Solanum lycopersicum: one gene and its partners. The protein of the gene in region 3 binds, or shares a complex with, the protein of the main gene of each other region. Links are inferred from orthologs where the notes say so. Each region holds a gene or a part of one and is shown on either strand. Other genes may lie near its edges.

The links.
Region 1: proteasome subunit beta type-4 (region 3) and proteasome subunit beta type-1 share a complex: the UniProt entries of both Arabidopsis thaliana proteins name them as parts of the 20S core complex. The link is inferred for Solanum lycopersicum from reciprocal best matches to the Arabidopsis thaliana genes PBG1 and PBF1.
Region 2: the proteins of proteasome subunit beta type-4 (region 3) and proteasome subunit beta type-6 are in contact, whole or in part, in a cryo-EM structure (PDB 7QVE), measured with the Spinacia oleracea proteins. The link is inferred for Solanum lycopersicum from reciprocal best matches to the Arabidopsis thaliana genes PBG1 and PBA1. Residues at the interface, in XP_021842182.1 of Spinacia oleracea: Ser48, Thr49, Leu50, Arg51, Tyr52, Lys53, Ser54, Phe157, Phe176, Glu177, Val180, Arg181, Glu184, Arg188, Leu191, Tyr192, Arg193, Asp194, Arg195, Ser196, Lys200, Ile203, Lys205, Thr213, Ile214, Ser215, Pro216, Pro217, Tyr218, Ser219; in XP_021843991.1 of Spinacia oleracea: Arg32, Ser34, Gly36, Val37, Tyr38, Val39, Ala40, Asn41, Arg42, Ala43, Asp45, Gln49, Tyr55, Tyr147, Ala178, Arg179, Asp180, Gly181, Ala182, Gly185, Val186, Arg188, Arg199, Phe201, Pro203, Gly204, Asp205, His211, Glu212, Glu213.
Region 4: proteasome subunit beta type-4 (region 3) and proteasome subunit alpha type-4 share a complex: the UniProt entries of both Arabidopsis thaliana proteins name them as parts of the 20S core complex. The link is inferred for Solanum lycopersicum from reciprocal best matches to the Arabidopsis thaliana genes PBG1 and PAC1.

The regions. Positions count from the first base shown.
Region 1 is NC_090801.1:64,277,023-64,285,450, forward strand, and holds the start of proteasome subunit beta type-1, read right to left. Parts: upstream 4,770-8,428; 5' UTR 4,612-4,769; coding exon 4,565-4,611; intron 4,474-4,564; coding exon 4,366-4,473; intron 1,312-4,365; coding exon 1,230-1,311; intron 1-1,229. Other genes in the region: abscisic acid 8'-hydroxylase 3-like, read left to right, coding at 6,596-6,834, 7,155-7,479, 7,750-7,899, 8,097-8,348. UniProt on the Arabidopsis thaliana protein: Non-catalytic component of the proteasome, a multicatalytic proteinase complex which is characterized by its ability to cleave peptides with Arg, Phe, Tyr, Leu, and Glu adjacent to the leaving group at neutral or slightly basic pH.
Region 2 is NC_090806.1:8,738,561-8,747,045, reverse strand, and holds the start of proteasome subunit beta type-6, read left to right. Parts: upstream 1-3,324; 5' UTR 3,325-3,487; coding exon 3,488-3,599; intron 3,600-3,988; coding exon 3,989-4,065; intron 4,066-6,821; coding exon 6,822-6,877; intron 6,878-7,212; coding exon 7,213-7,285; intron 7,286-8,485. UniProt on the Arabidopsis thaliana protein: The proteasome is a multicatalytic proteinase complex which is characterized by its ability to cleave peptides with Arg, Phe, Tyr, Leu, and Glu adjacent to the leaving group at neutral or slightly basic pH.
Region 3 is NC_090810.1:59,172,361-59,180,649, reverse strand, and holds proteasome subunit beta type-4, read left to right. Parts: upstream 1-3,662; 5' UTR 3,663-3,808; coding exon 3,809-3,814; intron 3,815-3,901; coding exon 3,902-3,966; intron 3,967-4,571; exon of another isoform or gene 4,572-4,628; coding exon of another isoform or gene 4,629-4,681; intron 4,682-5,888; coding exon 5,889-5,965; intron 5,966-6,189; coding exon 6,190-6,319; intron 6,320-6,412; coding exon 6,413-6,572; intron 6,573-6,668; coding exon 6,669-6,854; intron 6,855-7,533; coding exon 7,534-7,647; 3' UTR 7,648-7,858; downstream 7,859-8,289. UniProt on the Arabidopsis thaliana protein: Non-catalytic component of the proteasome, a multicatalytic proteinase complex which is characterized by its ability to cleave peptides with Arg, Phe, Tyr, Leu, and Glu adjacent to the leaving group at neutral or slightly basic pH.
Region 4 is NC_090801.1:61,746,648-61,753,404, reverse strand, and holds proteasome subunit alpha type-4, read right to left. Parts: upstream 3,958-6,757; coding exon 3,211-3,957; 3' UTR 3,070-3,210; downstream 1-3,069. UniProt on the Arabidopsis thaliana protein: The proteasome is a multicatalytic proteinase complex which is characterized by its ability to cleave peptides with Arg, Phe, Tyr, Leu, and Glu adjacent to the leaving group at neutral or slightly basic pH.

The DNA of each region.
Region 1 (8,428 bases), on a different chromosome or scaffold from region 3:
AAAATTAGATTTGGAAGCAACAGTTGTACCTTAATAGTTAATGCCTTATCCCAAAGAATGTCAGGAGAAGTTCCTCAATTTGCAATTTTTATTGCAAGAAATGTTTCAAAAAATATGATGTACATTTAAGTGAAACAAGCTAAATGATACATGCTTTACACTTTTCCCTGCGTTTAAAATTGTCAACATCTATTGAGCCCTAAAATATAGTATAGATGGGTGAGACCATTTCCACTGAGTTTTGAAACCAAAAAAACAACAGATTACTCGATTATTGAAAAAAGAACCCAAGATTTCAAGTGTTAATGACAGTGTATCTGTGTTGATTAACGTGACTAAGTGATACAAATGAGTGATCATGCTTTCTCGGGGGTGAAGAGGAGAAGCTGTTATGTCGTAGTAATATTCAACAATATGTGAATGACTCAGGAAGACATTTTTGTACCTTTTAGAGGAACAATTTCGTCCTTGATATTGAGTTTAGTTTAAATATCACTGATTTTTACTATTTTCAGGGACTTGAATTGTTTTTCTTTAATTTTATTCACAACTCAAATACATATTTTACTAGTATTTATGTGACTTTTTAGAAAACTTGTACTCATCAATAAGGGACACACACAATGCGCGTACCCAGAAAAAAGGTTCTGATCATGTCATTGATAATTGGAAGAAAAGAAAAGGGCAGTCGGGGCCTAGTGCACTAAAGCTCCGTTATGCGTAGGGTCTGGCAAAGAGCCTGACCACAAGGGCCTATTATAGACAGCCTTAACTTGCATTTCTGCCGGAGGATGTCTCCAAGGCTCGAACCCGTGACTCCGGTCACATTGCAGCAACTTTACCAGTTACTCCAAGCCACCCCATCAATTGGAAGAAAAGAAAACAAGCCTAATTTATGTATTAATTATAACACCTAGAAACCCCATCCCCACCCCACCCCACCCCAATCCTGCCCATAATCATATCCTCTGGCTAAATATTGTAAAGCTCATGGATCAGATCATGGTCACTGTTCTGTCTCTCTATCACATAATGCAAACTCACTTTTGTCCATAAAGACACGCACATCATGCAAGCTAACAATCAAATTTTTGGTTCACAATGAGTTGATAAGTTCATATTGCACAAACAGGTGAAGCACACTGAACGAAGATACAAAACATCCTACATGCTCCATACCAAACTGACTGAAGAGATAAAGGATTAACAAAAACTTCTAGCATTTTTACCAGATGCCTTGATGCCAAAACCTTTTGCAAAGCTCTCACGTCAGCCTGAAATCCTGACGATGCCATCACACATTTATCCGCTCTACATAATCAGACAGTTAACATGCAAAACTGATGTATTAGGAAAAGGTTTGGGTAAAGATAAAAGCAGAGAAACCAACTAGTATCATGACGGAAGGTGAAGATTACATGTATGCATACCCATCTAATTCATTCTCTCATGCTATGATGCATAGGAGGACTGGAGGAGATAATTATACATGAGTTTATTGTTAATCCTGAAAGTGCAAACCTTGTTATACTCTCATCCCCCAAGCAGAGGCAGTTAAAGGCAAGTTGGTTTTAAAACCGCTTCACAAAAAGAATTTCTATATTCATGGGAAAGTTATACTCCCTCTGTCCTTATTTACTTGTCCATATTTCCTTTTATATATGTCCCTATTTACTTGTCTATTTTAACAAATCAAGAAAGGACAACAATTTTTTTCCTAATATGCCCTTATTTAATTCTAGAAAATTTCTAGTACTACTAAGTTGTAATGCATGCTTTTTGGAACCAGAAAATAAGTTTATTATACTTGGGGAGTTGCATAATCTTTTAAGTTAAGGGTATAATTGTAACTAACCTATGATAATACTTGGTGCCTTAATATGTATGATGAAGATAGATCTACGGAAGGCATATCATATGGTAAGTTGGGACTTTATAGAGGAATCTTTAAAGGGTTATAATTTTCCACGAACCTCTGTGCAGTTGGTAATGACATGTGTGACCACTACGAGGTTCACAGTTAAAGTGAATGGAGAAGGCTATGGATATTTTGAGGGCAAGAGGGGGCTTCGACAAGGGGACCCTATTTCTCCTCTGTTATTTGTGTTAGTTATGGAGTATCTTACGAGAATTCTTAGGAGGATGAGTGATCTGGCTGATTTCAAATACCACCCAATGTGCAAAGCAGCAAAACTTACACATTTAATATTTGCAGATGATTTAATGGTGTTCTGCAAAGGAGACACAAAATCTATTAAAAGGGTGATGGAGGCTTTGAAACATTTTAGTGCTGTGACTGGCGTGGAAGCAAATTTGCAGAAATCTAACATATTTCTTGCTGGAATGACTGAGGAAGCAAAGTTGAGAATTTTGAGTAGTACAGGGTTCTCAATGGGTGTACTACCTATACGGTATCTGGGATTGTCACTATCCTCAAAAAAATGGAACAAGGTGGATTGTTACCAATTGGTGGAGAAGATCACAAAGAGAATCACAATAGGTTATTCAAAGCAGTTGTCATAAGCAGGGAGGCTACAGATAGTTAATGCTGTTTTGTTCTCGATATATAATTTTTGGGGGACAGTGTTTATCCTCCCACAAAGTGTGTTGCAGGAAGTAGATAAAAAATGCAGAGAATTCTTGTGGGGAAGCTCAGAAGTATGGAGGATTAAATATCAAGAGCTGCAAATTATGGAATATAGCTGCTATCGGGAAGCTTTTATGGCAGCTGTCAAACAAGAAAGATGTATTATGGGTCAAATGGGTACATGGGATCTATATGAAGGATACCGATAACATTTGGGAACACATACCACCCCAAGATTGTAGTTGGTATTGGAAAAAACTGAATGTTTTGAAGACGGAAATGCTCCAATGGTATCAAGGGGGACAATATGTTTTGACATCAAATGGTGTATACTCCATGACCAGTAGCTACCAAGCCATGCTAGGTGTGCTACATAAATGCCCAGAAGCAGACTTACTTTGGAGCTCTATTATGCAGCCTAGACAGAGATTTATCTTATGGCTTACATACCAAGGAAGACTGCTCACTAAAGATGGACTATAACATATGCATATACAAGTTGAAGATGTCGCATGTGGTTTGTGTCAGCAAGAGAGTGATGAAACACATCAACATTTGTTTCCTGATTGTCATTTGGGGAATGCAGTGAGAGAGGATTTGGCTAACTGGGTGGGTGTGGCAATGCTAAGACGCACAATACAACAAATAGTGGCGTGGATTAAAAGAAGACGTTGGAAACAATTCAAGAAGGAAGCAGTAGCTGCAATGTATGGAGCAACAATTTATTATACCTGGCAAGTGAGGAATTGGAGGCACTATAGGCAGGAACATGTAAATACAAATTTTATCATCACACAAATAAAGAAGGAGTTATTAGTTAGATTAGAAAGAGTACAGGAGTCTAGAAAAGCAAGAAAGTGTCAAGATTTAATACATAGGATGTGTGGTAGATAGTTAATAGCTAGATGTTAGTGTTGTGTTCACTTTACGAAATTGTAATACTTTGTTTTTTTTTTGTATGGTAATATTCACAGTTTATTGCCAAAAAAATATGTGTGACACTTCTAAAGTGGACAACTAAATAGGGATAGAGGGAGTACTTAGCAAATACAGAGTCTATATAGTAAAGGTCAAACACATTTTATACAATTATGAGCCATGGAACTTGATTTTGCCTCTTGGCTAAATTTTCTTTTTAATTACTGACTGCGCCTCGTCAAGCAAACAACGAGAACAGCACTGAAATTAGTTCCATTCGAGATTCATCCAAACAGAGAAATGCAACCCAGGTTTGCATTCTGATCTTTGACTGCTCCCTCTTTTTCCTCTTCCAAACTTGCTACCCACTCCCAACCAGCACCCTCTCACCCATAGTCCAACCCTCTCTCTTTGATTTCTGGCGGCAACTCAATGAGATTTAGTTCACTTCTTCTCCTTTTAATATGTTGAGTCAATAACTAATCTTGAACTGTGATAATTTTATGCTAGTCCGTTTCTTTAAAATTAAAAGTACTAATAGTTCAGTTCATCCATTTGATATGAAAACAAAAATTGAATAACAACATTCTTTTATGACCGAGAAATCCCGCAAGACTAGTGGCGGTTTGAATAATTTTCTCCAATTCCATAGTACAAATCATTATGCATGGGATAAATTTTACCTTGATCAGTATAGAAGAGCAACTTTTACTTTCTACCAAAAAAGTGATTGCAAAGCATGGAGCTTTGTCTATCAAATATATAGATCTATGTACAAGATGTTATTAGCCTACTTCATAGTATTAACTAGCTAAATGGCACAGAAAACAAGTTATTTGAAATAAATAAAAGGAACATACAGTTTAATGATCTTGGAGTAATCGCGAGTAAGAATGTTGTAGCCAGTGGACATGCGAGTATCTGCTGCAATTACACAGTAATCTGCTCCAGCTACTGCCACACAGGTTCTGCAAAGTCGAAACGCGAGGGGCATAAGCACCGATACAGAAAATGAAAGAAAGAAAGCAAAAACAAAAGTAAATATCTACGAAACATTACCCGCCATTGTTGTCATAAGGAGACCAGTTAGCTTGCTGCTTCGTCATGGTGATTCGATGCGTAGAGAGAAAGAGAGATGGATCTAGGGTTGCAGAAGAAGATTCAATTTGAAGGACTGATGATTCGTCTTCAGCAAGTCATCTGACTATGAGCGCTAGATGGGCTTAGTGTTAAAAAGGCCCCCGATTGCTTCCTCATTAGGCCCAATATTCTGTCCACTTAAAAATGGGTTTTTTGTTCCTTGCCCAAGAACATTAAAAGTACTTCTCTGCCCAAGTCTCTTTTGTCTTTCTCTCTTTCTCGTTTTATACGAATTCAAATTGTATATAATTTCTCTTTTTCTCGTTTTATACAATTCGATTCAATTGTATATTTCCTGCTCAAGTCTCTTTGCCTTTCTCTCTTCTCATATTATACAAATTCAAATTGTATATAATTTCTCTCTTTCTCGTTTTATACAATTCAATTATGTCTTTCTCGCTTTCTCGTTTTATACGATTCAAATTGTATATAATTTCTCTCTTTCTCGTTTTATACAATTTGCTTCAGTTATATATGTATAGTGAATTATACATACATAAGTTCGTTATGGAGCGCAATTATACAAACTTTGTTATAGCATACAAATATGAATTTTATGTTTGCTATATATGAAAGTTTTTGTTTTTTTTTGTGTGTGGGTGTGTGTTGTTGTCATATTTCACTTGAAAAAAGAAAAATTAAAATCTTATTAAAAAATAATCATAATTTCAAATCAAATACTCCTCAAATAAGCTTTTTAACTTCAAATTCTCTATTTGGACTTTTTGAGTTTTAGTTAAAATATTAATATATCTTACAAAGTAGAATTAAGGAGGCAGGCAGGCAAGTCTTATACCCTTACTACTATCTTTATGAGATGAAAATGTTTAATTTCAAAAAACCTCAATTGTCGTAACGAACTCTAAAAATATTATGTTGAAGTTGAGAAATTCTAAAAATATTTGGATAGTTGAAAATCTAGTTTAGACTAAACAAAAGAGAGTATGCCGATAACTGGATAGAATTTAGATCACAGCCGAAATGAGTGCACCATCTCATTTGTCACATGTCAAGAATTTGCCCTCTTTTTGGGCATGCCAAAGGATATCAATTGGAAAATGGAGATGTCCAATTTTATCTATAATTTGTACCTACCAATTCATTTTTCCTATATCCCATCTAAGTTCTTTGAATGTCACAATCATATAAACATACCTAATCACTCTTGATACGAGGTGTTTGACCATGAATTTTTTATATTATATTCAAAGTTACTAAATATCATTTTTCAAAAACTATTTTTAATACTTTTTTTTTATAATAAAACATGGCCAAATGAGCAGAACTCATTTGAACACATAAAAAGCATCCAAGACCAAGAGGTTTGCTTATGTTTTTATTTTCTTTTTTGAAGATTGTACTCACTAGTCACTACCTCGTATATGTTTGATTATTGTTCACAAATTTTCATGACTAGCTGTCAATATCATCTTTTAAGTGGTCACTCATTCATAATAATAGACCATGCCGGCTTACCAAGGTACTCACCACATTCGCTAAAAAAATCAATAAATACAACGTGTAGCTTGCTAAACTATACTTATTTAATAAATGTATCTTGACAATTAATTAAATACGAGATTATTAAAAAGACAATAATATAAGGGTATAATTAAAAAAATTTAGATGACACTTAATTTGAAACGGACGGAGGTGGGAGTATATAAGGTTTCAGTGAGCACAAAGAAAAGTAATTGAAAGCAACTTGCATATATTTGTCATCCTTATATTTTATTTTAAGTAGTATCTTAAAAGATAGATCCGTAGCCATTGTGGAAAGCAAGTGAAGACAAAAGATCCAGGCTTATGGCATCTTGTCCTATACTTACATTTGAATTTTCTAATCTCTACCTAATGCATTTTTAAATTATGTCTTAGAAAGTGAGTGCATTACTATATATTACTTATTAGTGATAGTTTGTCCTTTCAGGTTGACATTAAAATCAGAATATGCTTACTATGTCAATGGAAGACATACTTCTCCTACTAAGCAAATACTATGATATTCTTCTAGTTTCAATACTTGTCATAAGTATTACTGCACTTTACTTGTCAAAGGGAGCTAAAAATGCAAAAAGTTGCATACCTGGGAGTTTGGGAATACCTTTCGTGGGTGAAACCTTCGCACTTCTATCAGCAACCAACAGTGTCAAAGGTTGTTATGAATTTGTTAGACTTCGACGCGAGCGGTAAGAAACTCTATTTGTTTTAAATCCATGTAGTTCTAATGCAATATCAAATCCAGCAATTTGCTTTTTTCCATATTGAGATCAAACATATATACTAGCTTTAATTTTATATTGAGATGACGGATACTAGGTCAACTGTTCCAATGATTTAAAAAAAAAACAGAGAAAGTTCATAGGATTTTTATTCAATATTTTTCCCAAATGTTTATAAATAAGTTCCTATGGTTATGATAAAAATCCTACCAAAGTTCCTCCAGCTTATCAGCTATAGTTTATATTGCAAAATTTTGCTAGATTGATTATTGTTTTGTTTAATACAGGCATGGGAAATGGTTCAAAACCAGAATTTTCGGGAAAATACATGTGTTTGTTCCAAGTGTTGAGGGTGCGAAAGCAATTTTTACTAATGATTTTGCTCTATTCAACAAGGGCTACGTCAAATCGATGGCAGATGCTGTGGGAAAGAAAAGTTTGTTATGTGTTCCTCAAGAGAGTCACAAAAGGATTAGGCGCCTACTATCTGATCCTTTCTCTATGAATTCACTGTCAAAATTTGTACAGAGATTTGATGAAATGCTATATGAAAGATTGAAGAAAGTACAAAAGCAAAGAAAGAGTTTCACTGTGCTTGACTTCAACATGAAGGTAACTTGTCTATAATCTATTACTCCACTAGTTTTAATTAGTAATAACACAAAGCTTGGAAAAAATTTAGTCCCTTTTGATTTGTTTGAAACAAGATTTAGTTTTGATACAATAAACCAGGCAGAAAAAGATCGATGTGTCATCCTAATTACTAGATTCTAAGCATACTGTAGGGAGATAGCTATATGTTGAAGTATACAATTACCAAAAGAAATAGTAGTGTTGTGTGCTGCAGTGAGTGTTCGCTGACCATGTGAAATTTGGCTGCAGACAACATTTGATGCGATGTGCGATATGCTGATGAGCATCAAAGATTCTTCTGTGGTAGAACAAATTGAAAAAGACTGCACTGCAATTTCTGATGCCATGCTGTCCTTTCCAGTCATGATTCCGGGCACCAGATATTTTAAAGGCATCAAGGTAGGGGTGACCGTTAATGCAGTGCACTTGATGGCTTGCAACATCTCTGGAAAAAATTACTCACCATGTGAACAAAATTGGACTTGAGGAAACAGATCATTCACTATTAGAAGGGACAAGATAAATAAGATTTTTCGTTTAATATAAGAGAAATTAACATGAACTATTAGGTTATGCTCATCTCATTTTTCGTGCAGGCACGTGGGAGGCTAATGGAGACCTTTAAGGGAATGATAGCAGCTCGGCGCAATGGGAAGGAATATTATGAAGACTTCCTGCAGTCCATGTTGGAGAAGGATTCATGTCCAGCCAATCAAAAGCTTGATGATGAAGAGATCATGGATAATTTGTTAACGCTGATAATTGCAGGGCAGACAACAACTGCTGCTGCAATGATGTGGAGTGTCAAGTTTTTGGATGAGCACAGAGAAGCCCAGAACAGGCTCAGAGTGAGTATCCATATATCACAAAGACATTCTGTTACTTTATGCACTTTTATGCTGACAAAATGATTAATTGTCCTACATTT
Region 2 (8,485 bases), on a different chromosome or scaffold from region 3:
GAGATATATATTAGTTGTTCTTAGCCAAGACAGTGTGAATTGGTTCTACCCTCTGGTAGATAAATAGAATAAAAGGTGTTGGATTTGGATCATGCAAAAGTTGCATCATACACTTAATCTTCAGAATTAGGGGTTCTACCCTCTAGCTTGGGTTGTAAATGATAAATAGAATAAAAGGTGTTGGATTTATGCTCATGCAAAAGTTGCATCATACACTTAATCTTCAGAATTAGGGGTGGGGATAAAAATAGAAAAATTAAAACATCGAACTGAATCAAAAAGTTTCGATTCTTTGATATTTCGATTCGATGTCATTTTTTTAAACTTTGATTTTTTGGTTCAGAGTTCGATGTAAGGGTCCCAAAATTATAGTGCATCGCAGAATTGATGTTTTATTAAATAAATTAAAAATATTTATTATAATACTTAATTTTCAACTTTACTTGTCCCATTTTAATTTTCATATTTAAAGTCTAAACTTAAATAGAAAAAAATCTAAATAACAAAGAAGTAAACCCTAAAGATCTAAAGTCTAAATTAAACAAAACTCAATTTAATTCAAATTTGAGCAGCAACTTGGTGTTTGTACTTTCTATTTTATGATTTTATCATTTTATGTTGTTACTTTGAAGTGTGAACAAAAAATTGATGTCTTACATTTTATTGTTAGATGGTTAGTTGTTATTTTGAAGATTGAAGTGTGAAGGGAATAACAATAGTTACTTTATTAAATTCTCCCTTTATTTTTATTCACACCTAAAAACCAATTTAAAAACACTAAACTAAATTGAATCGAAGTAGAAAAAATCAAACCAAACCAATCTAGTTTGGTTTGAATATGATGTACACTTTTTTTAAAATCGAATACCGAAGAACCAAATCAAAATTTGATTAAATCGAACCGAAGAAGCGTACGCCCACCCCTATTCAGAATGTGTGAAGAAATAACATTCACAAAAGATATGCATAAGGTAATAATATATTACTAAGTTGTAATTCATTTAAGCCTCTTTGTTTAATATTGTTTCTTAAATTTGTTGTTTTTATATGATACTCAGAGACTACTTGAGAAAAGTAAGAATAGTTTTACCTTAAGCAAATCAAAGATATTGCACAATATATATTGAGCCCAATTGATGAAAAAGATCAGATAGAAGTGAGCTAAAGAAGTTGTTGTGTGGTGACCTTCATGATCCTCATTTTTAGAGAAGATTTGAAGAGGTTGAAAAGGATTTATTGAACAAATATTCTCCCAAAACATGATGCAAAGCTTATCTAGATGTAATGTGCAAAAATTAGGTTGTGGATAATAGCTCTAACAAAGTCTTTTAGTGCTTAAATATTTGAAGCAAGATACAAGCAAATTATTGAAATGTTGATAGATATTAGAATTGAAATAGAAAAAGACAATTGTGAGGAAGTGGAAAGTTGATGGTTTTAGTCCCAAAAATGACTTTCTTGTATTGCCTAAACTTAAATTTTTGCTAGACATATTTGCCAGATTAACTGAAGTATGACAAATTTATAGTTTGAACTAACACAACAAAGTACTAGTGACTTAAGTTCCAAAATTATGGTACTAGTGTTTTGTAATTGACATATTTACTATGAATGTTGACTTACAATTTTCCTTTAATAGTTTTGGACCATGTTAATTCATTTCAAATTAGTTCTATATTGCAAAGAGAAACCAAATTCGCAACCTCAAATATTTCATCTCAAATATACAAACCTCAAATATTTCATCTCAAATATATAAAATTCAATAGTTATAATCGAATTATTAATTCTTATAAAATTCAATTCAAAAGATAAGATTCTCCTATCAAAGTACTCAATCAAAAAATTCATTGCAATTTTAAATAAATTCTAACAAAATCTAATTCAAAAAATAAGATTCTCTAATCAAATATTCATTGCGATTAAACTAAACACTTGAAAATTCCATACAAGAACATATCTTCCTTGCACTTGGAAACTGCAACCAAGAAAAAAATGTACACTTACACAAAACTATATCACTTGAAAATTGCAAGAACAAATACCACAAACACAACAAATAACAATATACACAGTATCTTCCTTTTTAACAGTGTCACTTTCAATTTCTTGATTTGTTCACGTCGAAGTAGTTTATATTCTCTAACTTCTTCAATTTCTCTTTAAGTTGTCTCTTTCAATCTTAACCACATTCAACAACTCTCTCAAATCTCCATTTTCATCATAGCAACTTTCAGTTTAGACTTCAACAAATATACTTCGACAAAAGAATTTTTTGAAAAACTATCTGTCCATTTTCAAAATCCACAATTTTTAATCTATTTCAAAATAATAGAGAAGAATTTAGAAACATATTAATAAAAACATAAATCATATGAATTGGCTTTTAGTGAAAAACGTACCTTAGGTAAGAACATCTAAATATCTATAAAATTTTCTTCCGGTGTTCAATGGGGTGCTTTAAGTGAAACAACAAGCAAATTCACCATAAAAACAAGTGATCATCATCGAGTTACTAATTGAATCAAAACTAGTTTCAGACATGTTACAAGGTCTGATTTAGTGATTAAAATGGCTGAAATCACAATTAAGATCGCAGAAGCAAAAATTACAAAAGAATCCTTGAAGAACACCATCAAGCTAGGTTTGTCTATCGCAAGTGAGGGGAGAATTCAAACTATTTTGATTTGTTTGTTATATTATTAGGTGTTAGTAATGAGTGGGTTAGAGGTTATTTGAGAGATCTTTTTAATTCGATGTAAATATTTTTTTATAGATTTATGTTTAGTGAATATTTCAAATAAATACATATGATTATGTCATATATCTCACAATTAAAATGAATGACACAAATGATCTACTTTTAAATATAGAGACACTAGTATCCAAGTAGTATGACAAATGATATTCGTATACCATTTTTGATAGTGTAGAAATAAATTCCTCTTTTTTTCCTTAATTAAAAAAGAAAAAAAAGACGTATATATTTCTGAACCATCATAAATGTTATGCAGATAACCTCCGTCATACTTTTGGGACATAGGTTCCCTATCGTTCAAAAACTAGAGCCTATATACCCTTTATATACTAACGGACATTCACGTATCATAATCTTATCCACTGATCCGACATCAGAGCGATAAATAAAATTGCGGCACGTGTCAATATTTAATCTTCCGTTAAAATGACGGACATATAACTCTAATTTTTAAACATCATGGACTTAATATTCCAAAAGTGTGACAGAGGGTATTTACTTACCATTACGATATTTCGAGTTATATTTGTCCTTATTAAAAGATAATAAATCCTTCCTTTTTCCCTTGAGAAATTGTAGAACATATTTCTTACTCTCCAAGACAGTTGCTAATACTAATATACTTAGTCTCCCTTTTTCTTCTTTTATTTTTTCCTTTATTCTCACTAGGGCTTTTCTCTTTCATTTTTCAATTTCTCTCCTCCTTCGATCTCTCAGCTTTACCCTAAGATGGACAAATCGTCGCTCGATGTGGAGCAGCCACACTCCATGGGAACCACCATCATCGGCGTCACTTACAACGGTGGCGTTGTTCTCGGCGCCGACTCCCGTACCAGCACTGGTAATTCCTTTTTGATTTCCTTGTTAAGTGTTTGATTTATTTTTTTCAATTTTTTGTAATGTCGCCGTGGAAGAATGGAATAGCTGAAAATAAAGTATCTGATTGATTGATTTGTTTTTTCAATTTCATAATGTTGTAATGTGAATACTGAAAATAGAGAGTGCCTTTGATTTACTTTTCAATAGTACTTTCTTGATGAGAAGAGTTTCCTTAACAATTGAATTTTTGTTTTTGTATATGGCTTTATTATGAGGATTTGTGAAAGTAAAGCCTTTTTATATGGATTATCTGAGAAAGATCAATTTATTGTGAAAAATGTAGTAGTATTTTTAGTTTGTGTAATCTAAGAACTGCATTTTGTTGGTGTTTTTTTTTTTTTGGAAATTTAGGAATGTATGTGGCAAATAGGGCTTCAGATAAGATCACTCAGCTCACTGACAATGTATATGTTTGTCGCTCTGGATCGGTATGCTACTTTTGCTCTCTCTCTCTTTCTTTTGAAACCCTGGAACTGCTGTCTGTGCTGTGGCATTATCATTCCTTTTCCCCTTTGTTTCCATAAGGGATTTTTGTTATTTGGTTCAAGTATTGGCATGTTGAGTTTTGTATATAAAAGCAAGTCATGAAGTTAAGGATTTATGGGTGTAGTATCTCCCTTCTTTTTCTTCATTTTTATGTTTTAGGAAGGGGTTATAATTTGGCTGAAATTTGTCAGTAATGAATTCAAAACTCTATTTAATTGAATAGCATGTTATCTGCTCTGCAATGATTGACAAATAGAACGTAGAATAACTGAAATGCTAACTATGCCAGGAGATATTAGAACTGAAATAGAAATGACACGGCTAAAAAATTCTCTGAGTTAGCAATGGCGAAACAACTTTCAGTTTTGAACTTTTTTTGTATCAGCAATGGCGAAACACTTTGCAATTCCAATCCTTAAAATTCTTTGGGGGCTTGCTCTTCCTCAAAAAGAATTAAATCTCTTATGGGCTTAGTTAAATTCACAGGGCAATTGTGTATTGTCATTGTGTGTCCACTTAACGTGGTATGTCGCAAGGATAGAGTGATCTGAATTTTATCAAATAGCAAATTGAAATATTCATTTCTCTCTCTCTCTCTCTCTCTCTGTATCTTATCTATTTATGAGTCACTGAACATCTCTTTACTTTTCCTATTAAGGTAAAGTAATTTACCTAATGAAGAGAGGAAAAATGTCTAGTATACAAGCGGTTATCAAAAAGTAGAGAACCTGGAAATAACTGAACATCCTTTTACCTGCTTATCTTTCTATGGTTTTTGGAAATCATGCTCATATTATGCAAGCTAAGTCAGTATTAAAAGCTAGAAAATTTCAGATGTTCATCAATCAATCAACTGGGCTTTATCCAAAACTACTTGGAGTTTAAGCTATATCAATTGATCCTCGGTTTCCATTCTGGTTTGTCTTACTAGAGAAAAATATACTGAATTTTACTTGACAATGGGACCTACTAACATGGTTTCATTAGCAGCTAGTAGCAGAAGTTATAACTTTTTCCGTTGTCTTGCATATTACTATTGCATCCACTCTCTCCGAGGAATGATAAGAGAACTCGGTTTAATAAAAATCTAGATGCCATTTGTCACTTTCTGATGAATTTTATACCACTGGTACTACTTGGTACATAATTATAGGACATCTATAACATAGTGATGCCAAACATGTCTAAATTAAGATGGATAAGGAGGACTCGCAAACCCTCTATTGAATGATTCACAGTTTGAAAATGTCATATATGCTGTTCCTGTAGTTTTCTTGTATGCATACTTGATATCTGTGGATTCCACATCCATGGATGAAAATAATTGGTTGAGGCTTGTTAATTGATTGTTTAATAGGGCTGAAAATGGAAGTAAAAAATGTATTAAATTTGTTTATTTAGTTACTGAGTTTGTCCCAAGTGCTTTAGGTTTGCTTTTAAAATGTTAAGCTTTAAGTTGCCTGGGTAAACCATGTTTCTTTTGTGGTCAGACAAGTATTGAGGTACAATTTTTCCTTTTTGCTCCTCCCCTTTCTCACATTGAGTGGGGGCTACAGTGGTAAAAGAGCACTCGTCGTAGATGTAGTTCATTATCCAATTTGATTAAAAAAACATATGATGCAACCTCTGTATAAATGTCTAGATTATTAGATACCTGGGCACGCATATCAATTTGCATGTAAAATTGTTTCTTTTTTTTTCATTTAGCACAATTTTTTACTTTCTAATATTGTAAGGAATTTGAGTTCCCAATGGGATTTGATTACATAACTAAACATGATGTTAGGTTTAAAGCCTATTCTAATGTAAAATGTTCCACTACCTTTGTGTTGTATCTGCATAAACTGAATCTTTTGGAAGTCAAAGTAGGTTCGAATTGAGAAATGAAATATAGCATGAGGGGATCATAGTGGTAGATTAGATAAAAGATAAAGATATTAATCCTTCTCGTTTATGACCAAGTAATCCCCAAGGACCAACTGCCGCCGCACGGTTTTAAACTTGGTGAATAATGGGCCCAATATGTATTTATCTTTTAGGACAAGTTCATTGGAAATGCTTTTTAAGAGAAGCTTTCTGTTAGTTTTAGAGGTTTTGTTCTGTACCTTTGAAACAACGGATCTGGGCGATGCTCGAATTCAGGTTATTGATGATTTTATTCTTACACCTCCACATATGTACTCTGTAGAGTCTGTCTTGTTCCAAAACATTAGCTTCCTATTGCTCTGTGGTTAATATATGGTTGATATAAATCCTACAGCATATCCAATAGTTTTATTAGCTTATTAGACAAACAAAAGAATGTGTTTTACTTTAAGTTGCCCAGGCTCTCCAAAAATGTTGCAACTCCTGTGTCGTATTATCCAAAAATGCACTACTTCTGAAGGATACGACACATACCCGATGACATTTTTGAAGAGTCCAAGCAACACATGACTTTTACCTACTTCCTGGTCTAGAAAATGACCTCGGAGCGTTATATGCTCTAAGAAGTTAAAAATGCCTGATGCTTTGAAGTGAACTTCTGGTTTAGAAAATGACCTTGGAGCATTATATGCTCTAAGAGGTTAAAAATGCCTTGATGCTTTGAGGTGAACTACCAACAGCTGAGTTGTTTCCATTTCATAATCTGATACTTGATCCTCTATAGCATTCTCAGAGTCCTATCTCACATATTATTTTAATGATTGTTTTGTAGGCTGCAGATTCACAAGTTGTTTCAGACTACGTGCGCTACTTTCTACACCAACACACGTAACCCATCAACTCATCTTGTATTTTTTCAAATGCTTACTTCCTAGATGCAACTATTATGATTTATCTCAGTAACTTGCAAAAGAATCTCCCCTGATAAGAGGCTATTAACTTCAGTGTCTTCATTGATTCCTTCTTTGTTGGGATTACGGAATTGACTAGTTAACCTATACATACTTTTGAAGTTTGAATGAGCGTGCCAAAATTTACCATCTCGTTTAACCATCAATTTTTCTGGAAATTAGATTATGATGAAGTGGCTTGTGTTTGTCACTTATTTAGTCAAATTATTTTCAGGATGCACTTTCTAAGGTTGAAAGTTTTTGTGGATGCAGGATACAACTTGGCCAGCCAGCGACTGTCAAGGTTGCGGCAAGTCTTATTAGGCAAATATCCTATAACAATAAGGTTTGTTTCTATAAGTAGTATACTATTTCTTATTGTGTTATGTAAAATAATTTCTATCATTTTAAATTTTAAGTATCCTATTCTCTTTTTTTTGCGTGTCTGTTAAAGATTTATACAAATAGCTTGGCAATTGTGGAATCACTTTTTTTTTTATTCGCTACAATGCAAGTAGTTGTAGCTTTGAAGCCAGGACAAATAGAGACGGGCTTTAGAATTGTACCTGTGTTGCCGTATTCTGATGCTCATTGTGTAATAGAGAGTTTCTCTTTCAATGCAACTGTCTAAAAGAGATTTTTTTTCACCATTTAAGAATGGTCATCAAAGCTGGAATCAACATTTTCTTGCTTAGGAAGTTGTGAAAACTCAGTGCATCTCCTAGATGCAATTTTTGTGGTGTAATTTGAGGGTTGGATCACCCATTTATCGAATCATTCAAATATTAATGAGTGGTCATGTCCTAAAGAAAGTTGGAATCTGTGAGTGTACTAACTTCAGCTGTGTCTTGCTCAAAAATAGATGTGGTAAACCTGCTCAGTGGAAAAAAAGTAAAAAAGGAATTTTTCAATGCTGAGCTGATGCCATTTAATTTGTTGCTTCTGCACACCATCGGTATTAGGTTTTCGTTTTGTTTTTAGTTATGCAGCTTCCCTACATGATGTGGATGAATTAACTGTCTCTTTTTAATTTAAAGATTAAGTAAGGAATAATTTTATTAATTACAAGATGTGTATCAAATGACAACCTAGAATAGATTCTAGTTGTTAGAACTGACGTTATCTCTATTTTGTTCCTGGGTTATTTTCCTCAAGCATTGCAAATTCCTTCATCTTTTTGATGCCATTAATTATATTTTTACTACATCAAAAGAAAAAAAAAAGAGACAACCTAGAAAAGGCACCTATTCCTCTGTACAAATAGGAAGAACCTAATGGGTGGACACAAAAGAATAATCAATTACATGAGGCTATATATGATCATTGCTCCATTACTTTTAAAGCTCTCCTATTTCTCTCGCCTTCCTTTTCCGTTGATGGTATGTTTTCCTCTCTGTACTACCACATTTAAAGGAACAATGCTCCATGCTCCACATTGTTCTCTTCATCTACTAAAGCCAGCTGAATCAAGCAACTGTCACCAATCCCCAGCCATGTTTCTGATACAAATTATTTGCATTTCACTGTTAACAAGTATTTAGGGGTC
Region 3 (8,289 bases):
TGCGTTAAATTTTAGTATTCAAAAAAAAATTAACATTATCCTAAACTTTCATATATTATGAAAGCATTCATTATTCATTAATTACGATTAGTATTTATCTACGACCAACTCTATTAAAAAGAATAACGTTTTAATGGGTAATAATTTATCTTGAACCAATTAGTCATTTCAATATGTAGTTATTGTAATGCTCTTTTCATTTTTATTTTATCTTTTATTGTTGTTGTTAATTGCTATCAAATAAGATTAATTTTATCGAAATATATTCATTATAATTTGAATAATTTTTAGAAATTATAGGTATAATTATATTTTTTAAATCAAATATATTTTTAAAATTATATAACGAAGAGCATGTAGAAACTCTCCAAAATTACTTAAGAATATGCGATCGCACGCTATCATAGTCTTATAATTACAATATGTGAAAATGATAAAATATACGTAAATCTGACTCTTATTTATATGATGAGATTGTTCGTTACTTAGTTTAAAAAATTAATATAAATTTTTTGTAAATATTTTCAATAGAAAAAGATAGTTAAATTGTGGGGAAAATGAATTTATGATGGGTGGTCCCCACGTCACTAATGGCCAAGAAAACGAAGAGGTGGATCAAATTAGGTTTCATTTGGTAGTTGTTGGTTGTTTTGAAAAATCAGAACTCTTCTCAGCCGTCCGATTCGATGACTTTTTAGAAGTCTCTTTATATTAAAAATAATAATTTGACCAATGTGCATTTAGCAATTTTGAAGACATTTTTTGGTTGTTACCTATATGGTAAAATATAATAATGTTTGTTTTGATTGTTGATTAAGTATTATTGTATATCGTATTATTATTTTTTGTTATTATATAAAGAAAAATGTTGTTTTATGTATTAGATTTAGCGGCGTTTATTTTTTATGTTTTTTTATCATTTAATAATTTTATTTTATCTTTTAATTTATTCTTTTTATAGCGATTTTATTGTATATTTTACTTTTTATTAGATTTACCTTTAAATTGATAATGTGTGATGATAAAAAATGAAATATAGTATATTCAAATGTTATATTTCACAAAATAATAGTATGTACGGTGAAATAATAAGTGATAATCATCCAAATAAATTGTAAAAATGATGTTTTGATGTTCCAAAAATCCTTATAATGGATGTTAGGTTTTAACTTTTAATTGATTCAGTTTATATCCTAAGTAGGTGTTTGGACACGTGATTCTATATCGCAATGTGAAATTAATGATTGAATATTTGACTTCGAGTTTTTATCATGAGATGAAATTCCTAATTTTCTAAAAAAAACATGTATTGAGAATTTCAAATCATGATTTGAGAATTTTCAAATACAAAAAATGATCCACAAGTTTATATTTTGTAAAAACAACATCAAGTTTACATTTATTGGCCATTTATTTCATATGTAAAAAAAATAATTATAATTCATATTTTACTTTTTAAACTTTTATATATCTTATAATATCGATTATTCTCACCAACATAAAATTAATTTTTATTTAAAATAATTCTTATTTTGCTATTTTTATTCACCAGGTTCATTATTTTTAACAAATTTATTTAAACCAAATTGACTAGCAAATAGCTCAAAGTGACGATGTTCTTTCATTTTCTTGGTCATATGATCGAAAAATGCAAATTTAAAATTGCAAGTTTAAAATGAAAGTAATTTATCTATACTATGTGAGAGGGTTATATAAAGATATGTATACTACAGTTTATTGTATGATTTTTTTATTGAATTAAATTTTAATCAAGAAATCTTGTATTTTTTCACAATAGCTCTGTTATATAGTGCACTATGCAAGTTTTATATTTGTTTATTTGATAAGTTGTATAAGGAGTCGAAACAATATTAATAGTTTTATAATTATGAATTTTATATGTTTATGAGAAAACATAGAACATAAAAAGTCCAAACTGCATATCAAAGCAAAATTTTAAATCGAAATTTCATATCGCATTGTGAAACTGGCTCTGATAAACCTCGTTAGATTTGCAACTTGGCATTCTAATATTATGATTTTTTTAGATTATTATTTTTTATATTATTATATTTGTATATTTTGAGAAATCAAAATTAACAATAACGTACATGAAAAAATTTTACTAGCCAAATAGGCCTTTGCTAGAGTAATGAAAAGTACGATGGAGATAGGTTTGATAACAAGGTGAGCAAAAGGGATTGACGCTTAACTCGTAGAAGTTAATAAAATATTTTTTCATTTTCAATCCTATGTAAAGACCATCACTGAATATTAATGATTTTTATTAATTTTGGTTGTGGATTGTAAAGATATAAATAGTAGTTGATGAATCAAAACACGACCATTCTATTAATGAACCACTCTAAAAAAGGAAAAGCGTACTTATAAAAATATTACAAATTGTACGGTTTGAATAATTTGATCATAATAGTCATTAAATTTCATGGCTATGTTATAATTTATAAACACGAAGTATGATTTATATTTCAACTTTATCCATCATAGTAGCTTTCAATATTTATACATAATTAGAGTGACTTTTTTTTTAGATTTTATTTAAATTTATGTAAAATTCATACAGACTCGTATCTCTTGCATAATCTTCAACTTGTACCCGTCATGAATAACTTAAAATTCACACGCGCTGTTTTGCATCTATTTCGTTTCATTGCCATCCCTAATTGGAGAGAATGAAAGTACACAAAAATAACATATTACATTTATTATTCAACTATTTGAATTTGAAATACGTGAAATAATAAATACATAATACATACATGTTAGCTTTGATTCGAGGCAATTTATTTCCATCACATTGTATCGCTTGTGAAATTCGATACAACGGCTTGCCAAGACTTTCAAGAAGTTGAATGACATATTGGTGTGGTTAGAAGCCCGCGAAATAAACAAACATGATGATTTATGCAAATACAAATTATTTATGCAATCTCAAGGAAATTAACAAAGATATATGAACTTAATTGTAAAAAATACGTTTGATCATACATAACTAACAAAGTAAAAAAACAGAAAATATTTAACGCTAGTATGATCAAATTTCAATTCGAAAGTCTAGGGTTGAAAAATTGCATGTTTGACTTCCCACACTAAAAAAAATATGAATCTCAAAATTTCATAAATTTAATTTTCACCTCGAAATGTCTAAAGTTAAATTATAAATGTATGAAACATTAATTTAGATCCCAAATGTTTGAAATTAAACTTTACCAACTTTTAAAATTAAAATTGTAAAGTAACTTTGACATTTTCAATTCAAAACTTAACTTTATATCAAACTGAATAAAAATTAAATTTTATCCCTATACTTCTATTATTTCAAGCATGAAAATAAAAAAAATTATAATTTTGTAAAAAACGTAACATTGCACAATCGATTAAATATTTTCTAGAATAATATCCGTCGTAAAAAAAATAGATCTAGTAAAACTAGCATTACCTATCTAGAAACTTCCCATCATATCGTATGTATCGGTTCAAATGTAATACATGTACATTGAAATAGAAAAATATAGAAAGTGGAAGCAATGTATGAAGTTTTCTCTTATTGGGTTAAAATTTAAATACTTTAGATAAAAATTGAGTAGATTTTAAATGATATCCTTAAAAGTGGCTATCTATTGCAAATCATACACGAGAAAGTCCCGAAAACGGAGGCCCATTTCACTTTCAGCCCAAACCCAACTTTTCTTGTGCAAAGGGAAAAGTGCACAAACAAAACTCCGATCAGTGTTGTTACTCTGCTATTTTTTCTCCGATCGAAGATCAACTATTCCGATTTCCGACGATGAATGTAAGTTTTTTGTGTTATCTCGCGTTGAATCGAAGAATTTTGTTGTAATTCTTTGTAATTTTTGTGTGGAAATGGTGATGTTTTCAGGTGATGGATTCAGCTCCGGCTAAAAGTAGCTTAATGAGTCCCGAATCTGATATTCAGAGAACACAGTACGTGCTCTCTTCCACTCTTTGCGTGTTATGAGATTTTACAGATCTGATTTGTAGTATGTTTGATGTTTTTACGAAATAGGGTTTTTGTTCTTATTTTACAAAAATAAAATAAAATAGAAGAGGCACATAGTTTTAGTAGCTCAGCTGGCTGGTTTGTTCGCTACCTGTATTTTCACCTAGTGGTTCTTTTGAGCAGAGTGTCTGTGGAAACCATCCCAATGCAGTGGTAAGGTCTACGTACACACTACGCTTCCCAGACTTGACTTGTGGGATTACATTGGGTAATGTTGTTGTTGAGTGTTTTTCTGGATGCTATTAGCTAGGCTTAAGTTAACTCTATGTTAATATGTATGTTTAAGGATGTTTTTACTGCAAGAGTTACCAGCAAAAGTAATGCTTTTCAGGCGAGTTTTTGAACTTTCCTCTGTGTGGTGGGGAAGCCTTTAGGCATATTTGGTTGATTTATAAACATTTACATAGGCGGGGGTAGAGTAGAAGGTACGAGTTTTGCTTATTCCAATAGCTTTCGTCCAACGTTTCCAGACCTTGGATTTGTCTTTAAAAGATCTGTTTAATATGTTGACATTATTAATTTAGGATGCAGTAACACAAAAGGGTTTCGATCCTGATTCCATTAACATCTAATCCTAGGTGTACCTATGTACATAAGGATGCTGGTGAAGAGCATTGGATATGGAGGAAAATGTTCCAGGTAGAAATATGTTTTCACTAGAAAAGAAGTTTCTTTTAGTGAAAAAAATATGTTTTGGATGGTTTGTCGGTGTTTGGTTAGGTGTGAAAGTATGTGACATATGGTAGTAATACAAGATGGAAGAATATATGTTTATGCGGATATTTTCTAGTGATACTCTTAAGTATTTAAGATTGACTACGATGTTTAAGCACTAGTTGAGCAAAATGATGTTAGTAAGTGTTTCGATACTTATAAAGGACTTATGCTCATAAGTAACATCTATTTCCCTTTAAGCTGAAAATAGTTTATTTCAGAAAAACAACATCAACATTTTTCACGGAACATTTCTGCCATGCCAAATGATTGATTTTTGATCTTTACTGGAGTTCTCAGTCTGTGGCTTATGGTATTATGAACCTGTAATTTTGTTTTCCCGAGTAGAAGGAATGAGGTGCGGGGTTAAGTTGAGATCTCATCTTGCGTGGCTCTTGGATTTTTGCTTCCTAGGATACATCTGGACCACAAAGGAGTTTGCAAATACATTTGGGCCAGAAATAACTTTGCGGATATCTGGTCCAGAAAGGAATTTGCAAACTGTATTTACCTGTTTCAGCTGCTTATGCTCTTACCGGTGGGTTTCACTGGGATGTTAAAGCTGCTTATGCTTTTAAGTTGTTGGACTTAATCTTCATACACGCTAAAAAGTGAAAATAAAAGCATTACAGAGGATGAACTAGGTATAAATCCTTTAGTGAGGATGGCTGAGTGTTTATAAACAACCTCTCTACCCCACAAACATAGGGGCATGGTCTCAAAATCCTTTAATGAGGAGGGCCGAGTGTTTATCGGAAACAACCTCTCTACCCACAAAGGTAGGGGCATGGTCTGCGTACATCGTATCCTCTCTAATCCCTACTTATGGGACTACACTGGGTATGTTGTTATTATTGTTGTAGTGAGAAGGAGAGTCATATAACAGATTAAAATTATTGAATGAGAGTATCTGCATGTTGGAAGAGATGTGCAGCTCTTTGTATGTACCATATCCTTTGCATGCATGGGAGATGTAGTTAAATTTAAGAGTACCAACAATGTCATGCAGCAAATTTTTACCTTATGGATACATGCTCACTCGTGCAATGAGATTGTATTTATGTAATTTTCCTTTATAATTCCTTACTGTGCTCGAGATGTTTGCAATTTTAACTTGTATTGTTCTCAATAGGTTTCCATATGTGACTGGGACATCAGTTGTCGGCATCAAGTACAAAGATGGTATTCTCTTGGCAGCTGACATGGGAGGTTAGCTTCTATATCAAAGATTTTGTCCCAATCAGTGCTCCGATTTTTTCAAAAAAGTATATCACATGGTTCCGTCACTAGGGAAAAGGGATAGAGAATTGAAAGATCTCCTATAGAAGTTCTCTTTTGTCATTTTAATATTATTTGATGTTAAATAAACCCTCCAATACATGCTAGAGATAATGTAGTATGTGTTGTCATCTTCTTTCTTTTTCCATTTTCAGGTTCCTATGGTTCAACGATACGTTACAAGAGTGTGGATCGATTAAAGCCAGTGGGAAAACACTCCCTTCTTGGTGCAAGTGGTGAAATAAGTGATTTTCAGGAGATAATGAAGTACCTTGATGAGCTTATGTACGTCTGTCCTTATTCTTGTTTATTGTTATTGTTTATATAATTTTTGATGGGCAACAGTTCTGGTATTCAATGCTTCGTAAATGCATGCAGCTTGTATGACAACATGTGGGATGATGGGAACTCCTTGGGTCCCAAAGAAGTGCATAACTACCTAACACGTGTGATGTATAATCGTCGCAACAAGTTCAACCCACTTTGGAATTCACTTGTTCTTGGTGGAGTAAAAAATGGACAGAAGTATCTTGGAACAGTAAAACACAATACACTGTCTTGCTTAATTTTAGACAGATCGTCTCAATTGCATCCCTTACTGATAATGCTTGTGTTTTTTTCTTTTATTCCTTAGGTTAGTATGATTGGTGTGCATTACGAGGACAACCATGTGGCTACTGGATTTGGGAATCATCTTGCGAGGCCCATTCTTCGTGACGAATGGCATGAAAATTTGAGTTATGAAGAGGGCGTTAAGTTATTGGAGAAATGTATGCGTGTGCTTTTGTATCGAGACAGATCTGCAGTCAACAAGCTTCAGGTACAGAGTCCTCCTGGGGTTTAGGTAGAAAGTCAGTGCTTTAGAACTAATCAAAATGAAACCTCTTAATTTGCCAAGATGTGTTCCCGGAACTTCTTTCGTCAAACCTATAGTTTATGAGTTTCCTGGTAATTGTAGTTTTAATTGTGGGTCTATAGCTCTGAATTTTGCATCTGTTGTCATTCCTACAAGTACCAAGACTATAGTCTGATTCTGCATTTTCATAATCTGTCACTGCTTTCCTTTTCTAGAATAAAAAATAAAATCTACCACTATTTATTTCTAATTTCTGGCACCAATCATCCTTTTTAATTATATTGCCGCAAGGAAGTATTTCTCTACTAGATATGAACAATAAGACAGGTTTAGTGTGCTCTAGCGGAAGCAGAAGAGCTTATACTTCGATCTTCAAGTTCCATAGCATTTGCTCCCTAGATCTGCTCAATGTAGATATCTATTGTGGTTGACTGAAGGTTGGTTTCTTGTTTTTGTACTTTAGATTGAAATGGGAAAAAAATAATGGTAAGGTTGTTGAATAATGGAGGTGAACGTGATGATTGCATGTATAGATTTCCTTTCTGATACAGAATTCATCATCAAGCTCATTTTAGATAATATAGTTGTGAGATTTGTCTGCTCTTTCTTTGTGATTTTATTCTGATGTTTCTCGGACTTGCAGATTGCAAAAATCACAGAAGAGGGAGTAACAATTTCTCAGCCATACTCATTGAAGACTTTCTGGAACTTCTCTGCTTTCCAGAATCCAACCGTTGGTGCTGAGGGTTCATGGTAATAACTGATTGCTGCGTCGACTAGGTTTGATGAAGGAACTACACAATGTGTTGCAGATTATAGAACTGTTTTCATGGAAGTGATGTTTGATAGAACTCGTGTAATTTGAATTGTCTATGGTCTTTCTAGGTTTTTTCCTAATGTAAACTATAAAAGACATGTCTCCTGATGTTTCACTTTTCCTTCACTATGTGAGATTGTTATCTTCCAAAGTTACTTGGCATGCCATGGCTCATCTCAGTTATGGAACGTGGTCGTTTTTCGCCTGGTTGATATATTTTCTAAGTTCATACAGAAGTACACGCCCCTGGTTTACCTACTTTTAAGTTGCGTTGCTTGGACTCTTGACAATTTTGTCACATTCAAGTGTTTGATCCTCTAAAAATGCTCTATTTTTGGAGGATCAACATAGTCGGAGACATCTTTTTGAAGAGTTTGAGCTATGTTATCGACACTTATCCAGAGATATTGAGCAATACAGAGCTTCCAAGAGATGCTTAATATTACAATTGTAATTATTAAGCATCATTTGCGATCTCATTGTTATGGGCACCTTAGTCCATGCTTGTGCAAATTCTCTTCAAAAGGTTTTTCAATGTCAAAAGGATACATGAAGATTTTTTAACTAGAGTATTATTGTTCA
Region 4 (6,757 bases), on a different chromosome or scaffold from region 3:
TATTAATGCAAACTATTGTCAATTATAGAATTAAATTATCATACATTTAAGTGGCTAAATAAAAATCACCGATAAACTTAAAAGTCTGACTATGTTCATCTTAATTATTCTTACGCCTCAATTATGTGATGTTACTTAACTTTTTTTTCAAAATAATATATCAAAGGTTTTAAAGTAAAAAAATAATATATTTATAAAATTATATTTAAAAAAATGCATGAATTAATTCGGGATGTATTATTTCTTTACCTTTAATCATAAACTTTTAATTCAATTTTGAAAGAAAGTGTCCTCCTAAATAAGCGGCTCAACCTAAATTTTATTGGGGCTTCGATTCGGACTCGAATAATTTTGGATGTCATTTTCAGGAATCTATAATTTAATCGCGTTTTAGTAGTGTTTATGATGATTTTGATATTATAATTGGATTATTAATTAGGTGAGGTTTAGTTAGTAATGAGTGGGTAGTGGATTGATTTATAAATTATATAAATAAATTAAAATTATAACCAATAGTTGAACGCCAATTATTTTTCAAAATATTTAAAAAGTTTAATTTTAAAACAATTAAAAAAGTGGTCAATTTGAACCCAAAGATGGATGACAAGGGTATTTTGGAGCCAATAGGTAGATGAAAAGGGCATTTTGGAGCCAATAGGTGGATGAAGGGTAATTTTATACCATTTTCAATACTTCAAGAGTATTTTAGGCTCTTTTCCATATAATAAATACCTACGTAACGCCAAATGACACCTTAAAATTTGCTTATCACCCCCAAAAGTTACTTCAACTAAGGCCTAAATTAGACAGGCAAATTACTTTTTAGTTTTGTAATAAAAAGAAGTTACTTTATTTACGTTATTTCAGGAACAAAGATTTTATTTATAATAACTGAAATATTGATCTAATCAGATTTTAATTACATAATCATCGCTAACATAAGTTCAATATAATATTCAAAATTTTATATACAAACTGATTCGAATACTACGAATAAATATCAACGGTATCCATATAATGCCGGCGTTGGATATGGAGGGTCACAGGTTCAATCCTACAATTAGGACTCATCTGTGACTTGTAATTCTTATCATTATTATCCACCTAGTATTAATTCTTTACAGATTATGTACCTTTTTTTTTGTTTTTGGAAAACACATATTTTAGTAAAGAAGGACTAGGATAGAAATTGGATTTGTTTTTTGACTATAGATATCTAAATATATATTATAGAATTTTACTATCTTATTTGGATGATTTATTTATAAAAACAAAGACCAATTTCTATTTTGGGAGAATGATAGTGGAGAATGATAGTGGAGAAAATCCTACAAAGGTTAACAAATATGCATGCGCTTGTGCAATTGTTGCTTCTATGATATCTATCATATTTGGTTATGGTAAGTTTCATTCTTCATTACTTCAAATTGTCCGAAGTTCGAAATATAGTGTCTTGGTTAATTTAAATTCAGTTCATTAAGGAGCTAAAACATTCCTTATTATGAAAAAAGTTCTACATTCACATGTCAAGGAATTATTGAGCTAACGATGTACGATTTTGTAAATATCTTTTGATTGTAACTAGCATCGTTATTATTAATTACTTTCTCTGGCTCAATTTACGTGACATACTTTTTGTTAATTTTTTTTTTAAAATGTCATATTTCTATAATTAAAAACAATTCTACTTTAAAAACCTCTGTTTACCCTTTTAAATGGCCAACAGATGTTTTAGATCACGGATTTTTTTATGTCAAGTCAAATTGTGTCACATAATAAATGGAGAACAAAGGAAGAATATATAATCGATAAGAAATGAAAAAGTATTAGTGTTAATATGTTCTAACAATAATTTTATGTTTTTTTTTTTGTCAGATACTGGTGTTATGAGTGGAGCAATGATATATGTGAAAAAAGAATGCCAAAACAGAAATATTAGCAGGGATTCTAAATTTATGTGCTTTAGTTGGGTCACTTCGTGCAGGAAGAACATCTGATAAAATTGGAAGACGTAACACTATAGTTGTAGCTTCAGTAATTTTCATGATTGGATCAATTTTAATGGGATATGGACCATCTTATATAGCATTATTAGTTGGAAGATGTATTGCTGGTGTTGGTGTTGGATTTGCACTTATGATAGCACCTATTTATTCAGCAGAAGTTTCATCACCATCGTCACGTGGATTTTTAACATCTCTACCAGAAATTATTTTACTTGGTTATCTAATTACATTTTTTCAACTTAGTATAGTTACAACTTATGGTTTTTCAATATTGGTCTTGGTCCAGTTACTTGGGTTTAGGTATAGGGCATTGGGTGCTGGTATTGGTGTTGCTGTTAATAGGTTGACGAATGCTACTGTTTCTATGAGTTTTCTGTCCATTTCTGAAGCAATTACAACTGGAGGTGCTTTTTTCATGTTTGCTGCAGTCTCTTTGGTGGCTTTGATTTTCTTCTATTTCATGTGCCCTGAGACTAAAGGAAAGTCTTTGGAAGAAATGGAATCTGTTTTCACTAGAAGCAAATCCTCAGATAATTTCAAAAAATAGGCATTGAGAGCATGCAGGAGTTAACACTTTGTATATATTTCTGTAATTGTAAATGGTAATAGTTAACATTATATTATGATATGAAACTATCTGATATTATGTCCAAAGTAACTGTTTTTACATTTTTGTGAGAGGTCATGATGATAAGCTTTAGGTAGACATTCATGCGATCAAAATGATAAACATACCTTCTACTTGCACATTATTCCTTCCATTCTGAATAATCATCATACCTTCTGCTTTGGTATAATCACCACTACATAACCAAAATCCTCAGAGCTTTAGAGGACTAAATAGTTACTAGTCGGAGGAAGGAAATAATGTTTAAAATGGATAGCTACAAGATGAAAAGATCTCACCTTCTTCCCCTACGGTAGTTGCATCAAGTTAAAATTGAGAAAGATGGAGGGTATGTTTGTGTGTTCTTTTCTTTCTCAGGCAAACAGAGGCACAAACATGTCAAATGCAGTAAAGTACCACGATAACAACAAATGATGAAGTAAATCCAAAACAAAATTCAAACTGGAAAGCATTTGACATAAATATGCATGCAGTTGTAAGAAGACAAATCCACCACTTAGTTTTAGTACAACATGTCACACATGGCGTAGAGAGAGTTCAATGATGTCATATGCTAGATTGGAAGGCATTCTACGACTATTCTTCTACTGTAGGTTGAGTCAGTCCAGCACTCACCAACATTTTGTTCAGAGTTTCGGGAGAGCATGCTTGATACTTGACTTTCCCGTTAGAGAGAAATACCTCAGCAAGTTCAAGTTTCTCCGAAGTGAGGCTAGTGCTGTCCATTGTCTTACCAAGCACTTTAAGAGCAAGTTGAACGGCCTCTTCCCTTGTGATATCATCCTTGTAATCCTGCTTAAGAATTGATTGAGCTGCCTGGTTGTTTGCTCCAATTGCTGCGGCTTTCCAACCACCGTAATTTCCACTTGGGTCGCTCATGTAAAGTTGGAAGCCATAGTTTTTATCCCAACCTGCAAAGAGAAATGAAACACCAAAAGGGCGAAGCCCACCAAACTGTGTGTAACCTTGCTTGGTATCACATAGTGACTGGACAAGTTGCTCAACTGGCATGGGTTCTTGATAAGCGAACGTATAGCGCTGAGCCTGAAACCTGGCTGTGTTGATCAGAATGTTGGCATCAGACATAATTCCAGCTACAGCGCATGCCACATGATCATCGATCTTGTACATCTTCTCACTTGAAGTAGAGGTCTGAAGCAGCTTAGATGTAACTTTCTTTTCACCTACCAACACCACCCCATCCTTGGACAAGATGCCTATAGCACTACCTGCATTTCCAATAGCCTCCATTGCGTACTCAACTTGGTAGAGACGACCTTCTGGGGAGAAGATTGTTGTTCGGCTATCATACCTTCGTGACATTTTTTTCTTTACTGCAGAATACCTGATAAATTAACATAACTTGAGCTAGTTAGATAAAAATTTCAGAGCACATAAAACATGGTTCATTTTTTTACCCTTCCCATGAATAAGTCTAACTAACGAGCATGTTGGCAAACACAACAGAAAGAAAGATACAAAACTGAGTCGAAACAATATATAAGTCCACACAAGAGTTGAAGTTGAAAATTGTCAACCTCAGGGACTTCCCACCTGTATGGATAAACTTGTGGACATTTGAAGTGTGTGTACAGTGATACTGGTAAGAAGAGATTTCATAGATGAGCTTGCACTAAGCAAATGCATGAATAAAGAAGGTGCAACTCCTCGATTGTATCTAACATTGCATCTACATCATGTACAAGAACCAGGTTTCACCAAAAAGCTAGCAAATAAATACGTTTGTGTTCAAGGCTAAGTATATTTCTTCTTTTCCCTTGAAAATTCTGCTATTTCTTTCAAGCCAACTGTCCACCAAATGGCCTGAGAAATAGTATTCCAAGTTTTTTGGAATTTCTTTTTGAGACCCTCGTTGTTTCAACTATGCAGCAGATAAGTCAGGAGTTTGGCATAGTCCAATACATGCCAAGTAGTGCAAAATACATACCCAAGATGAAGTTGGAGCTGACACTTCATGATGTCATTTAATGAAATTCCTTATCTCATAAAAAAATGTTTCAGAGTGCTAACTGCTAACCCTTCCCTGTACTTCTCAAAACAAACTAACAGGGGCAGTTTAGCATTCCAAAATTAAGGCCCATATGGCATGTGAATGAATTACATTTAGAGAGAAGAAATTTTAACTGAAAAAAACTTGAATATGCAGTTAGCTAAATAAGGAGCAGCAACAAGGATTGCCAGAAGATAACAAGTATAAAAATCATTAGTTAGATCAGAGTTTTCTTTTCTATTTTTCTTCTAACTTGAGGTCAGTGTCAGCTAATCTATATTTATCTGCTATAGATTAAGAAAATAACAAGTCTGTTCTTTCCGTTTTATTTTGGTAGGCATCAAACTGTACAATTTCTTAGTGGTACCAACCAAAGCAGCTTGTTTACCACTTTCACTTCATTAACGATGGGAACTCAAGACAGAATGGGCAGCTAAAAGAGATAATGACAGATTAAACAATGATTATTAGGAGGATTATTTTCATCAAGTCCAGCACCTTTTGAGATCCAACAAGGCAAGGAACCTTCTGAAAATACTGTCCAGTTTGTCGAAAAGGGAATCATTAGCAAGGCCATTGTGGGCAACAAGATCACAATGCAAGTTGCAGATGGAAGAGATTATACAAGTCACGGCAATGAGCCAAAAGGAATTACGACTGGGGACATAACAGAATTTATGGTGCAACTTCTTAGGATTTGAATCAAAAAGAAAAAAGCACTAGCATTATTGCGTATTAAGTTCCACAGGAAATGTGAAAAACTTGGAGGGAGAATTGTTTGTGGGGAAGAGCTCTACTTTGAGTGATTGCAGACTCATGAATTTGGTAGGTTCTGGTAGAATTTTACTAGTAGCAAAAGCAAAGAAGACAAATCACTTTGTCATAACTCTTACTTGAAACACTAAGATGTGGCTTGCCCACTAGAGTAATATAAATACAATTGCCAGACTGGAGGCTAGTACCACCAGTGTCAACTTCAGTTCTTGCAATTGAAACCAAAAGATTTTAAGAGTAGCTCAATTGTATACTAATTGGATGCAGGATACAGTCTGCACTTGGTACAAAGACGGAGATAACTTCTCAAGAAATCAAATCAGGAGCAATGTGATCCAAGGTTAAATATTATCCTAGATTTCAATTAAGAAAACATCAAATGTTTACCAGAGATTGGTTATATGTTGCTCCAAGATAAAAAAAATTTTGTAAAAGGTGAACAGGGGATTATAAAAAGGACCAATTGTAAGAAGGGATTTAAGGCAGCTAAGGTAAACTATTAGCTGTCAGGATCAGAAATCTTATATTAGGTTTCTGTAGATTAAGGCTAAAGTTTGGTACATTTACACTTTCACTCCTTATATTCCAATAAAAATCTAAGAGCATTGTTCAAAAAGGAGAGATAAAGAAAGGAACTATAAAATCGAGAGTTAACAACGCCGAGTGGGTATAGTATTAAAACTCAGTAAACACTGCAGCAATCTTACAACTTAGACTAAACATGCCTTTAACTGCTAAGGAACTATTGTTTACTACAAGGGGAAGAATCTATGTAGACAAACACTAACTAGATCTATCTCCTTTTTAACACTTGAATCTTCAACCGAGGTCGGTACAGTTATTCAATACAGTATACATGAATTCCACACTCAAAGCCATCCTAGAGAAGACCTCACTGGACATTCCAAATGAAGAAATTTTTATAAATTGGTCCAGTCATTCAAAACCCTCCTATAACACTGTGTGGTGCTGTAATTTATCTTTCAAATATACACCAAAAACACCATGGCATAACTACCTAAATCAGGTCATACGACAGGACGGGTTGCTCACATGGCAATCACCCTCCAACCCCCAACCCTAAGGTTGGGGTTCGAGTCACCAATGGAGCTAAAAGGTGCGAGAGCTCCTGGGCAGGGGTTAAAACCCTAGTCATATTCTGCAACTTATACTTCATAAACACCAGATACCCACCCAACTTCCCTAACTAGTGACACCCATAAGCTAAATTGTCTCCATTGCACGTCTTAATGAAATTTGTCTCTCTTTTTTTTCTAATTAAAACAATTCTTTACAACCAGAGCTGCTATAGAAATGAACTTATCGCGCCACCGGTAA